3 linked regions of the Oryzias latipes genome follow. The protein of the gene in region 1 interacts with the protein of each later gene in a pairwise test. Links are inferred from orthologs where the notes say so. Each region holds a gene or a part of one and is shown in the gene's direction. Other genes may lie near its edges.

The links.
Region 2: the proteins of mlx (region 1) and mxd4 interact in a two-hybrid assay, tested with the Homo sapiens proteins (2 studies listed by BioGRID). The link is inferred for Oryzias latipes from reciprocal best matches to the Homo sapiens genes MLX and MXD4.
Region 3: the proteins of mlx (region 1) and mxd1 interact in a two-hybrid assay, tested with the Homo sapiens proteins (2 studies listed by BioGRID and IntAct). The link is inferred for Oryzias latipes from reciprocal best matches to the Homo sapiens genes MLX and MXD1.

Annotation. Positions count from the first base shown.
Region 1 is NC_019866.2:6,755,816-6,760,057, reverse strand, and holds the start of mlx (max-like protein X), read left to right. Parts: upstream 1-1,415; 5' UTR 1,416-1,518; coding exon 1,519-1,554; intron 1,555-1,604; exon of another isoform or gene 1,605-1,909; coding exon of another isoform or gene 1,910-1,915; intron 1,916-2,411; coding exon 2,412-2,448; intron 2,449-2,578; coding exon 2,579-2,668; intron 2,669-3,012; coding exon 3,013-3,122; intron 3,123-3,204; coding exon 3,205-3,307; intron 3,308-3,596; coding exon 3,597-3,696; intron 3,697-4,020; coding exon 4,021-4,222; intron 4,223-4,242. Other genes in the region: fmnl1 (formin-like protein 1), read right to left, coding at 104-280. UniProt on the Homo sapiens protein: Transcription regulator. Forms a sequence-specific DNA-binding protein complex with MAD1, MAD4, MNT, WBSCR14 and MLXIP which recognizes the core sequence 5'-CACGTG-3'. The TCFL4-MAD1, TCFL4-MAD4, TCFL4-WBSCR14 complexes are transcriptional repressors.
Region 2 is NC_019859.2:15,515,721-15,519,752, forward strand, and holds the start of mxd4 (max dimerization protein 4), read left to right. Parts: upstream 1-1,168; 5' UTR 1,169-1,346; coding exon 1,347-1,410; intron 1,411-1,923; coding exon 1,924-2,023; intron 2,024-4,032. UniProt on the Homo sapiens protein: Transcriptional repressor. Binds with MAX to form a sequence-specific DNA-binding protein complex which recognizes the core sequence 5'-CAC[GA]TG-3'.
Region 3 is NC_019867.2:24,931,428-24,935,431, forward strand, and holds the start of mxd1 (max dimerization protein 1), read left to right. Parts: upstream 1-1,186; 5' UTR 1,187-1,953; coding exon 1,954-2,020; intron 2,021-2,586; coding exon 2,587-2,695; intron 2,696-4,004. UniProt on the Homo sapiens protein: Component of a transcriptional repressor complex together with MAX. In complex with MAX binds to the core DNA sequence 5'-CAC[GA]TG-3'. Antagonizes MYC transcriptional activity by competing with MYC for MAX binding.

The DNA of each region.
Region 1 (4,242 bases):
AACTTCTTATTTATGTGATTCCAAATAACCTTCCTAACAACAGGTTTCTTGGACTGTAGTGTCTCTGCATTTGGTGAAAGTGTGAGTAACAAGAACCACTCACCAGGACCACATTGAAGCGTTCTTCCAGCTCCTCCTCCGGAGGCATGGGAAGTTTTGGGGGAGCCGACTGTTTCTTCTGCAAGACAAGTGCGGGATCACTCATTGCCGAAACCGAGATCCTGGCGTCCCGGCCGTCAGCAGGTTCTTGCTCCAAGCCCCCTGCCGCCGCATTCCCCATCACTAATCTCCAAAAGTAATCCAGGAGGAAAGCTTTACACAAACCCTTTCTCCGAGGAAAATTGGTGTATTCCAGAGCAGAGTGACAAAAAGTTGGTCACTCTAAATGACAAAAACAGGAAGGTCTAAGATGAATCAAGTCCTGTGCCTTTAAGGTGAAGAACATTTATTCTAAATTGCGTCCTGTCTTCAAGACAGGATAAGTGATGAAAAAAACGAGGGTTGTCTTCATGTTTGTCCGCTCAGAAACTTGTCTGTCTACATGAGCCAACAAGAACAAGACAATAGCCTTGTTAGGCCTGCGTGCTCTAAGAAAAGACGTACCCAACTCTCATGAACTATTTCTACACAGGTTGAAAACTTCTCTGAATAAGGCAGAGACGCCTCTGTATGAGAGGAAGGAGAGGGGAGTGTGAAACACAGACAGAAACCACAGAAGCAGAAAAGCAGAAGAGTAACTTCCTGTGTATGAGTGCAGCAGAACCTGAGGTGGAGGACAGGGTGGAAGATAAACTGCATCCGTTATTCGGATCACAAATATAAAAAGGTACATAACAAATAAACAACACATAGCAAAAGAAAAGAACTACATTGCTCATGGTAACCAGAAATAAAGACACAATTACAACATGCAAATGTACAAAATTAAACCAACAATAGAATTGTCTGCAGCTTATTAATCATTTAAAGCTAAATCTATAAACTGGAGCTGTTTATTCCACTCTAGCTTGAGACAGGTTTGTTTTGGAGGTCGCACGGGTCAAACAGCTAAAGTTGAATACTGGTTTTAAAACTGAGAAACAGCGACCTCCTGCGTTTAAAGATTATCACTGCATATAGCCGTGCAACATTTGAGATCAGTATGAAATTTTCGTTATGAATGATACTAACATTCACATTGTTGTGTATATAAATAGTTAAAGGAATAAATAAATATATGTGACAAATACTTGAAGTTTGAACAATAGGTGCCTACATTTTTACCAAAAATTACGTCAGTTACATATTACATCAAAAGGTAAAACATTTAAAAGTATCTTCTTACTAATTAATCACAGAAACAAAAAAACTACTTGTATACAAAACACATACATATATAAAGTATTTATATTTATAGTTAAAGTATTATTTAAATGTTGATGGTTTGAAATATGAACGCATCTCATTCCTAACAAAGCAGTTTAATTTACGAGTGACACGTGAATGCGACACCACTATTAGTTTTTTCAGCCTTCCAAAATGACGGATCCTACATCCCCAGAGGAACACTGGAAAGTAAGTCACTCTTATGAACCAGATTTTAACTTATCACAAACTTTACTTTTTTAAATAATTACTTGGTCTGTGTTGTTGGGGGCGGCAGTTATAACTGACTCGGCTGTCAAAACGCGGAAGTAAAGTGGAAACGGTGCTTTGATAATAGCCTCGCGGCTAACTAGCTTAGTGACGTTAAGCAACATTGAAGTGCTTAGCAAAGCAAGCTAGCTAAGTAAACAAAGCTACCGGAAAACTCGGGTTAATTCAGTTTTTAAAAAGTCTTCATGCACATGAAAAAAATACACTTGGGTCAGCAAAACCGTAGATATCTAAACAAAAGAACGGAGAGAGAGTCGGTTTCATTGTGTGTACAATGACGGTAGGAAAATGAAAATTTGGTTTCTGTCAAGATTTCATAACGAAGAAGTACTAGTAGTCTGCCTTTACATTTAAGCTAATGCATGTAGTTTGTTTTGTCAGGTTTGGTACCAGTGCCACTAAGTAAAATTTTAAGAGATATTTTTGATGTTAAAAAACCTTTGAATCTTGACTTTACAGTAGATTAATTGTATTTTTTTATATGTCAGCTTAACTTTGATGCTGAAAGTACCATTCAAGAGGGAGCCACTAGAAAATCACTAATTGTGAAGTTTACCTGTTCTTTTGTTGTTGTCCTAAATTTTAACTAAATTGCGATCGAACGAGTTGTGTTCTCCCTGCTTGAATGTGTTAAACCAGGACAATCCTCAGTGGGTGTTCTGGTCTTTGTAATCAAAGTATTTAGAACAGCACACTTTCTTTTCTTTTTTTGGTCTATAATGGTAAACCCACCGCTTTTTGTCCATTTCTCCTGCTTCTTTATGATGGCTGCGCAGACAGATGGTGCTTTCAGCGATGGTGGCTTTGACCAAAGTGAGTAGTTTTTGGGTTTTGTTTTTAAATCAAATCCTGCCTGTGAGAAAACAACTTTTTCGGATTGGTTTTCTTTTTGTTTATGTCTTATTTTTGTCATATTTCTAAACATTTATGCTTATATTTGCAGGTTTCTATATTGAAACAGCCAGAAAAGGAAGTGTGGTGTCCAGAGCAAACAGCATCGGGTCAACAAGTGCCTCTTCAGTACCAAATACTGGTAGCTTTAGAGTCTTTTAAATCGACATCCAGTCTGTTTTGATATCAATCAAAAGTTTTACTCTGTCATCATAAATGAAAATAATAGGAAATTACTTTATTGTTTTTCTTTTCAATCCACAATTGTGCTATCTACCCTTTTCTGGAAGACTAAATTCTTTGGTTAAAAGTATTTAATATACTTTTTCTTGGTGAGAAATGTTTATAAAAACATGCTAACATCCCAATAGAACCATGAGGCCACTTTGAGATTTGACTCTTGTATTTATTGAAATGCTTTTTATAATTTGATCGACAGCACAAAAACAGAGTCGGGTCACAATAGTTTAATTTATTCCAAAATAGATGATGAGGACAGCGACTACAGACACGAGACGTCGCTTAAAGACTCGTATAAAGACAGAAGGAGACAAGCGCACACACAAGCTGAGCAAAAGCGCAGAGATGCCATCAAGGTGAGACCGCAGAAGAATCGCGTCACTGTCTTTAAAATTCCAGATATCTGATCTCGTATATATTTCTTTACTTTTATTTCAGAAAGGTTATGATGATCTTCAGTCAATTGTTCCAACCTGTCAACAGCAGTCTGAGTTTGCCGTAGGAGCACAGAAGATCAGCAAAGCTACAATCCTGCAGAAAAGTAAGATTTACTCAAAACCTATTGAAATAGTGGGATGATAACATTTGTTCTTTTACATTTGTAAAAGTATTTATTCTTTTTATATTTGAAACACCTGTAATGCTAAAAGTGAGGTTATTTTCAGACAGTCAGGTAAATGTGAGATGGTAGTTTCCACTAAACACATTTAAAAACTGATAACACGATCTAGTTTCAGTTACCTTTATGGTCACAAAATAGATGCAAAAACCATAAAAAGCAGTATGAAGAAACTAACTGACAATGCTCTGATTCTTTTTTTTTTTTTTAGCTATTGACTACATTCATTTTCTTCATAAAGAAAAGAAGAAGCAAGAGGAGGAAGTCTCTGTCCTGAGGAAAGAAGTTATGGCACTTAAGATAATGAAAACGTGAGAGCAGCTTATAATGACATACCACCTTTTCCTACTTAAGTCTTCCTCATAGTTTGTCAACACTCTGCCTTTATTTGGATTAAAAATATAGTTGTTGTTTTTTTTGCATTAAGAGATTTTGATTTTTTTTAAGTTCTTGCCCCTTTTCTAATGTAAAGTTTTGTTGAAAAAAACATCATTTTTGTATCATAGTTTGTTTTTTCTTCTTCTCCAGGACCTTTTTAGCTTCAATAATCTAATAGAAACTGAAGTAAACTGTTAAATTCATAACTGCTGTCAACCTTTAGTGGTATAAATACTGTCTGTTTTGTTTTTTTGAAGGAACTATGAGCACATAGTAAAGGCTCATCAGAGCAATCCACAACAGGGAGAGGATCAGGTGTCTGACCAGGTCAAGTTTGACATCTTTCAGAGCATCATGGACTCCCTGTTTGTGTCCTTCAGCAACTCCGTCTCAGTCAGCAGCTTCGAAGAACTGTCTGCTTGTGTTTTTAGCTGGATTGAAGAGCACTGCAAACCACAGGTACCAAATATTGCTTTTTT
Region 2 (4,032 bases), on another chromosome or scaffold:
GCTTCAAAATTGAAAAAACAAACAAAAAAACAAATTTCTGATCAGATTATAACATCAAGGTCTCCCCACACTTAAATGTTAGCATTTGATGATTGTTAGGCAAAATAATAACACTCCCAGCATGCATTTAACATAAATTCTCTATAAAAGTAGATTATAATGAGCAAACATATTACTCATAATATGCCAAATGTGTATACAGCGGAACAAAAAGCAATCAAATAACTCAAATAACTTAAATAACTCAACGCACTTACTTTTTAGAGAATATACTATATGTAATTTTTTTTACTATCCAATGTTAGACAACTAAAACAAACAACACAATCTAATTTACTTTACAAGAATTTTGGTTCACAGTCGTAAAACATGTAATATTTTAAAAATGAATTTTTACTTCTAATTCCTTTATATGTGCTTACAAACTTTTTGATAGCATAATATTTCACTAACAAATTGCATACCCTATGATTTATTTAGAAAGCGAAATGCTTTTGGACATAATATTTTATGAGTCATGTCTGTACCACAATCTGCAAATTAAAACCTGTAACTGTGGTTATTTCTACGATGAACATCTTCAAGACAAACATTTCAAAGATTGTGTGTTTCATTTCTCCTACACTTTTGTGTGTTTTTTTCATCATAATAGGAAACCATGTTACGCCATATGCTCTTATATATTAATTGTGATAACTTTGCAAACGTGCAGGCCTGCACAGAACTTTCACCATGACTTGGACAGGAAATTAGAAGAAGTTAAAAAAAGAGGAAGAATGACCAATTCTCTTCCCAAAAAAACTCACGCTAACGACAGATGACGTACGGTATATGAAATATCTTGACTGAAAACATCTAGTTTACTTTATAATTTCAAAGGAAAGGCGTACACGGGGAGGTTCCAGCTTGGCCTCCAAAACAACACCCAAGTTCAGCAACTACACATTAATTTCCTTCTAACCAATCAAATCGCTCTCTTCTGAGCATGCAGCCAATCAGCTGCGGAAAAGGTGGGCTGCTTCGGCTGTTGCTAGGGCATGCCTCTTGTGACTTTCGCAGCGTGTAGCCAATCAGATCGCACCTAGGAGGTGTCGACCGATTCATTGGTCTAGACACGCCCAAGAGACGACGGAATACTTTTTTCATTGGACGGAGGTACGATCACTCACTTCCCTGAGTTAGGTGCTGTTGTTACTGTAGTTTGGAGTCATCTCGACTCAGAAGTGATCATAGCAGGGCGCTCACACCGCTCTAAAAGAGTTTTTACACGGTCATTACACCATTTTATGAACTGTACATTAGTGTAAATAGGCTATTTCTATTTTTTATATAAAGACAACAAGAAGATGGAACTTAATTCTCTTTTAATTCTACTGGAGGCTGCAGAGTACTTGGAAAGAAGAGACAGAGGTATTTAAACATTTGCGATTATTTGTGAGTGGAGGATGCCAGTAACAGCTAGCTTAAGTTTGTGTGTGTTGTTACGTTTTGACGTGCCCTGCCATAGTGCAGGTATGATGTCACTTCAGGCTCAGTGGGACACTATCGGGCGATGGGTCCAAGCTGTATCCTCACAGCAGCTTCCAACTGTTATTTGTCACACGTTTACGACCTAATTTTTTTTCTACAAATTGCTCAAACTTATTTCGACTGCGTGTCGAATTAGTAAACAAATATTGTACAAAATGTCTTTAAATGGTTGTGTATCAATATTTAGCCTGCCTAACATAGATCTAACCGACTATATAGTTTACCCTCCAGTGTATTGTAATCCAATAACGATCGATCACCCTTTTTTTATCCCTTAAAGTGACACCAAGCTGATGCATTTGTCTTTATGCCTTGTCTTTAATGCCTCGTTAATTTCGTTTTGCTGCTCCTGCAGCAAGCTATAGCATTTATGTTTGCTTTGTGTGCCAACAGAGGCAGAGCACGGTTATGCCTCTGTTTTACCATACACCAACGACTTTTCTCGAAAGAAAACGAAAACCTCTACAATGTCCAGAAAAACTCAAAACAATAGGTAAGTATTTTATTTTGGTTTTTTTTAAAAAAATTCCGGGCTTTTATTTTTTAAACTCCCGGTTTGTGTTGATGGAAACCCTCCCAGTCGCACGGTGGGTTTCCGGCCGCCAGCGTTCAGCCTTCACGGTGTTTTTTTTTTTTTCTCACGGAGCTGGGCCTGGCTCTGGTGTTTTGGTCTGTCCAATAAACAGTGCCACGCGTACACTGTCAACTCTGCAGCCTCTGCTCTGTCTCTTTCACTCTCACCTTTTACCACCCCCACCAATCTAAAAACACAACACTTCACATGGGTTTAACCTTTTGTTTATGCAGACCCTCTGATCTGCTGCTTCCACCAAAAGCTTCAAAATGCCTTTTTTTTCTCCTCTTCATGTGGTGTCTGTGTTTAGTTTGATGTGTTTGATGTAAAGTCACATAACGCCGGGTCCTGGGCTCAGAAACCGCAGCCCTGTTTAGATGCATTAACACTTGGTATTAAACTTGTGTTTTTTTGCACTGAACCATTGCTCCTGCAGGAAAAACAAACAAACAAAAAAAAAAACACTCGACACCTCCCATTATTGCTGCTGCAAGAAATCCTCTGGAGTAGTATTACAATACTGTAAGTTTCAGTTTCACTTCGGCCTCGTTTTGCTTTGAGCACAGCTGCACAGCTGGTTAAAGGTCATTTAAACACCAGCAGGTTAATATTTAACTTTGAAATAAGAGAAAAAAGGAAAAAACAGACGAGCAGAAACAGGTGTAGCTGCAGATTAATAACAACGTCTCAATAATGCAGCCTTTTCAGCTAAAAGGATGTTTTTTTCTATTGTTAGGTGTGAGAATTTTACAATAGAAAAGCTTTTATTTCGACGAACCTCCTCCACAGAATTCAACTACTCTTAAAATATAAGGCACAGCAGTTGTTTACTTGATAATCAGACAATTTCAAATGCTAATTGCACATAATGTGCACCAATGAAATCCAAAACAGAAAGAAAATGCCCTCCTTGTGTGCATCAGTGGACCCTTCTGTTCATTATCTATGCCATTTACAGTAAACAGGCAGCTTGACATGACTTGCACGATATGACAAAAGTGTTGTTAGAAACACCAAAATGTCGCCATTGGGCAAGAACAAAAAAATTCATTACAACCACCGTTAGGAAAGATCAGCAGGAGCGAGTGCTATGTCACCACAGGCACTTTTAAATGTGTAGTTTTGTGAAATCAAAGGTGATATTTTTAGGGCGCGGATCCCTCCGCGTTCCTTTGATTTCTTTTCTGACACAGAAACATGCTGGGTTTGTGCGTGTGGATGTGAAAGGTATGAGTTTGTTTGTGCTTGACACATGCATACACTCTGTAACAAACAAACCCACTGGGCTTTAGGCCCGCTTTCTCCTTCAAGTTCTTTGGATTGGCAAATACGCCAGCCAACGGCCATTTATAGGCTTTGCCAAAATGTTTAGCGTCTTTTTTTTTTTACTTTTGAGGCTCAACGCTTGCTTGGTGAATCTGTCTCTTCAGGAGCAAAATGCTTTGTTACAATGTAATAAGCATGTTCTGTGCATAGAGAAATAAGAAATCCTGATGGGGTTTCCTGAGTTACTCATAGGCTGTTGTGAAATCAGAAATGCTTCTAAAAAAGGCCTGAAATTTGATTGGCCAGCGATGCCTCGCTTCAATTCTGTCACAGAAGAAAGTGATATTAGAGTATAAATAGCACTGATGAAAAGAGAAACCCCCTCCTGCGGTTTTGACCCCGACTTCAAGGACAGGCTTTTGATGCTGCGCATCGCAAAAAAAAAGAAAAAAAATTGGACATTAAAGTAATTTTGCATATGGGACACTCATCTTTTACATAACATGTAAAGCAGCGTGCCGATTTGCTGTCCTTACAGGTTTGCCGGGTGTCCCTCCCTCATAGTCGTTTCCTGTTCGTACTCTATGCTTTGACTTTAATGTTTCCCCAATTTGCGCTTGTTTGAGGAGCATAACTTCCTTCATGTCCGACTCTTTGTCTGC
Region 3 (4,004 bases), on another chromosome or scaffold:
GTGTAAAATAAATAAATAAATAAATAAATAAATAAATAAATAAAAGCTGAAGTTGGTTTTAAGATTTGGTTCAACAAACCCAGAAGTGATGTCTCTGAACAAAGAAGGAAATGGCAAACAAAGGCACGTACATTAACCTTTTTAAAAGGAAAAAAGGGCAGTGAAAAAGTGAATCATGACGCTTAGACTCTCTAATATTTAGAACACTGCATTTTAAAGTACGGAAGAGCAAACAATGGATTAAATAGAGCAGAACACAAACGTTTAAAATGCATGTGCTGCTGTGCAAATGAGAATTTGATGGGGAGATAGAAACACATTATGGAAAAAGTTGGATTCATTAAAAGGCAGAGCTAAAGTATTTTACATTTAAAAAAAAGGAATTAGAGCATTTGATTTGAGTTGTTGTTGCACCAACTTAAATTTTAACTCATTGTTGTATGGCTGTTTATGGCTGTTTTCACTAAGTCTACCTTTGAACTTAAACAGAAAATAGTCAAGCTGTGTTTTTGTAGGAAATCACATTGTTTAGATATTGTCCTAAGAACTTTACACTTTAAATTTGGATGGTGCAGTAATTCCACTAAATTTATAACTGAAAACCCACACATAGATGTGGCTATGCAAGTATTTATATAAAAAATGAATCCTTGTTTTGTGTAAATTGCTTAATTTTTATTTGTATTATGATTTTTGGTTGATATAATTTTTTTAGATAGCTATGTTGAAATATCAAACATTAATCCTTTCCTCAACTTTAAAGAAATCAATTTTTGTCAACGAGTTTCGTTACTTTGCCACGTTACTGTAATGGGGCGTGGTTATGCGATGGCACACGCGTACATAACCAATAAAGGGAGGAATAATACAGGAAGTGAAACTGTAGGAACCAATCATAGCCCAACACCACGATGCAGCGTAAAAAGACGGCATTTTCACTCCAAAAAGGGAGCTATCGCTTTAGTTTGTCTGGTTTAGTAGCCCAATAGCTAACAAGCGTTTAACTAAATCTCCAATCACAATACACGGGTTGCTGCTTGCGATTTCGAAGCAGTTCCTCAACTGCAAAGACACTTCCGCCCCTTTAAATGATTGATGCCTGAGTAGCCCAATGGGCAATCGACCTCCAATCGGCTCTGTCCAATCACAGAAGAGTACTGAGAGGCTTCGTGGAGAGTACAGTGTGTTGCTGTTGTCTACATCAACCAGCCAGTATTTGGAAGCACTTTGATAAACTGTCGTTCTTCTTAAACTGATGCGTGTCAAACGAAGCGCGTGGCGTGTCACGAGCGATAAACCAGCAGTAAGCTAGTCTGCCCCGAAACCGATAAAACTGAAAAGAAGCGTCGGTTCGTCAAGCTTTTAATTTAATTTAATTTTTTTCTACCACTGTCACACCAGTTAAGTTTGTGACAATTCAACAGGCGGATTTTTTTCTCGATTAGCCGATACAGCAAATCTTTCAAGAACTTTCTTTTTTTCTTTTTACTTTTTTTTCCTTAATTCCTAGTGTCCGCGAACCTGTTCCTGTCTTTTTTGTTTGACAATCAGCATTCGTTTACTGACAAGTCTCTCTGGATTTTTCGCCAATATTTTCTCAAAGCGTCTAAATTAGCCCAAATAGAAGATAAGGAACCTTTTATATTATATATTTCTTAATTTTTTAGGGGGAAGGTTTGCCTTAGCTTTGATTAGCTAGCTTTTACTGCCTCTCTCAAACAGCTTTTAATAGACATCAACGTTAGCTCTTAACCAAAAAAACAAACAAAAAAAAAAACAATCTGGGACCTTTAACTCCCACAGAACAGCCCTCTAACGTTTCACGCCGCCTTTTAAAAAGAAAACCGGCCGGAGCATCACAGCAGCTGAGGGGCTGGACGTGAGAGGAGGAACGCTGTGTACAGTCACGGAATCCCTCATCGGATTGCTAGAATATCCCAGTTATTGTTGAAAATGGCGGCGATCGGAATGGTGCAGATGTTGATCGAAGCAGCCGAGTATCTGGATCGCAGGGAACGAGGTAAATAAAGCATATTTACATTCTGTGCTTTGTGACTCGCCCCCCCCCCCCTCCAAACATTAACAAAGACTGTGTTTGCACACATGATCAATCGGTTCACGTGATTTCAAAGCGCCTTTTGAACACTTTAATTCTTAGTACATGGTGGAGTTACCGACTCAGATAAGCATCGTTGCAGGGTTTACTTTTCCCCCACATGTAAGGACATGTACAACTTCATACTTGGCATATAAACATCAATTAAATATTCAAATATTTTATGAATAAATCGAGGAAATCAGATGCAGGGAGACACTGTTTGCAGGAAAGCTCCTCCTTTCCTTATGTTGTGGTTTGCTTGTGGGGTTTATTCCAGTTTAAGATGACATCATTATCCAGGCTGTTGGGGTGGGGGGTGGGGGGATACTGTGTGAAAATACTGCATGCATGCACATAAGCAATAAAATAAAGAGAGCCGGGTGCACACCTTGCAGCCTTCTGGCATGCCCTAACTGTTGCAGTATCTGCAGAAATGAATGATGACATGTGATCACTGTTTGTTTGTCTGTTTGTTTGTTTGTTTGCAGAAGCTGAACACGGCTATGCCTCCATGCCACCATTCAGCAGCAGCAGCAGCAGCAGAGAGAGGGAAAGCCTGAAAAGGAAAAGCAAAAGCAAGAAAAACATAAGTAGCAGGTAAAAGCGTTTGAAATCATGTGACAAGAGTCTGTGTTGAAGAAAAATCAAAATGTCAAAGCTTTAATTTGAACACAAACCTATTTAGTGGAGAGGAAATGTGACAATAGAACGACAAAAGAGGAAAAAAAAGGTAGGCCTGTTTTTACATGTGCAGCAATGTTCCATTTGTAGAATTACTAATATGTCATAAAAAATGTTTATACTGGAAATTTAGCCTAAAGATCATCTGTGAAAAAGGTTTTTCCCTCTCTGGGGAAACAGTTGTTCTAAAACCCCCTCTGACCGTAACAGAAACATTTTAAACCAGAATAATGTTGTTCTTGGAGCACATGCAAACAGAGTATTTTGAATATTTCCTCATTCACAATAGGATCTTCATTTGGATTATGCATGTTAACTCCAACAGTGTCTGAACACCACGATTCAAAAAACATCACAAATGATCCCCTTTCAGAATGAATTGTTGTTCAGTTAAAATTGAATTAAATCTGATTTAGTCAGAGTATTGGCTTCCTGGAAAACATTCTATGATAAGTTCAAGTTAGTTTAGGATTTTGGTGCTTTCCATGTGAAAATATCTTTCTGTGTTTACTTAGTGTCCTAATTCATCTTCTTTTGCGATAAAGACTATTGTCATCAGTCCAGTACAACTATGTCACTGTACATTCTTGCTAAAATTGATATAAATGTATTTTTTTAAACCCTTTCTTGGAAGGGGTCACGATTAAATCACTTTGTTTTTCAATCTAAACAGCGCTTTAGATTATTTGAGCAGATTTTTTTTTACTGCGATAAAACATTTCCCCCAATTTTTTGAGTCTCTATTACTCTATTAGGCCATCACTGTGTAATTATATCATTATAATATTTCTGACGTTTTCCTCCCCGTCACAGATCGCTGTCATCTTGTTTCGTGCTATCACCCATTTGTTTCAACGGTTTTGGCCACATTTCCTCCTTCTGTTGGGTTTTATTTTGGGAGCACTTCCTGTGTCCATGTTGGAGCTGCTTTTGAGAGCCTCACAGTGAAGTGTCCCCTTGGTGAAGTCTGCTGCCATGAATTTGTAGACGTCATTATTTTATTTTTGTTGTTGTTGTTCTGCAGCCAGTTTATCACACCCTCTTTTATTGTTGGGTAGCTTTATTACATCTCCTCTTTCAACAGGCGTGCTGCAATTAAATGTCTTTTTCAAATCTTATATATTTTCTTACAGCTTAATAGAACCTGAGACCAACCAAATATGTTCAAATTTGGGTTTTTAATCGAAAAAAAATGACTAAAATGTAGAAATTTTTTACTCTGCAG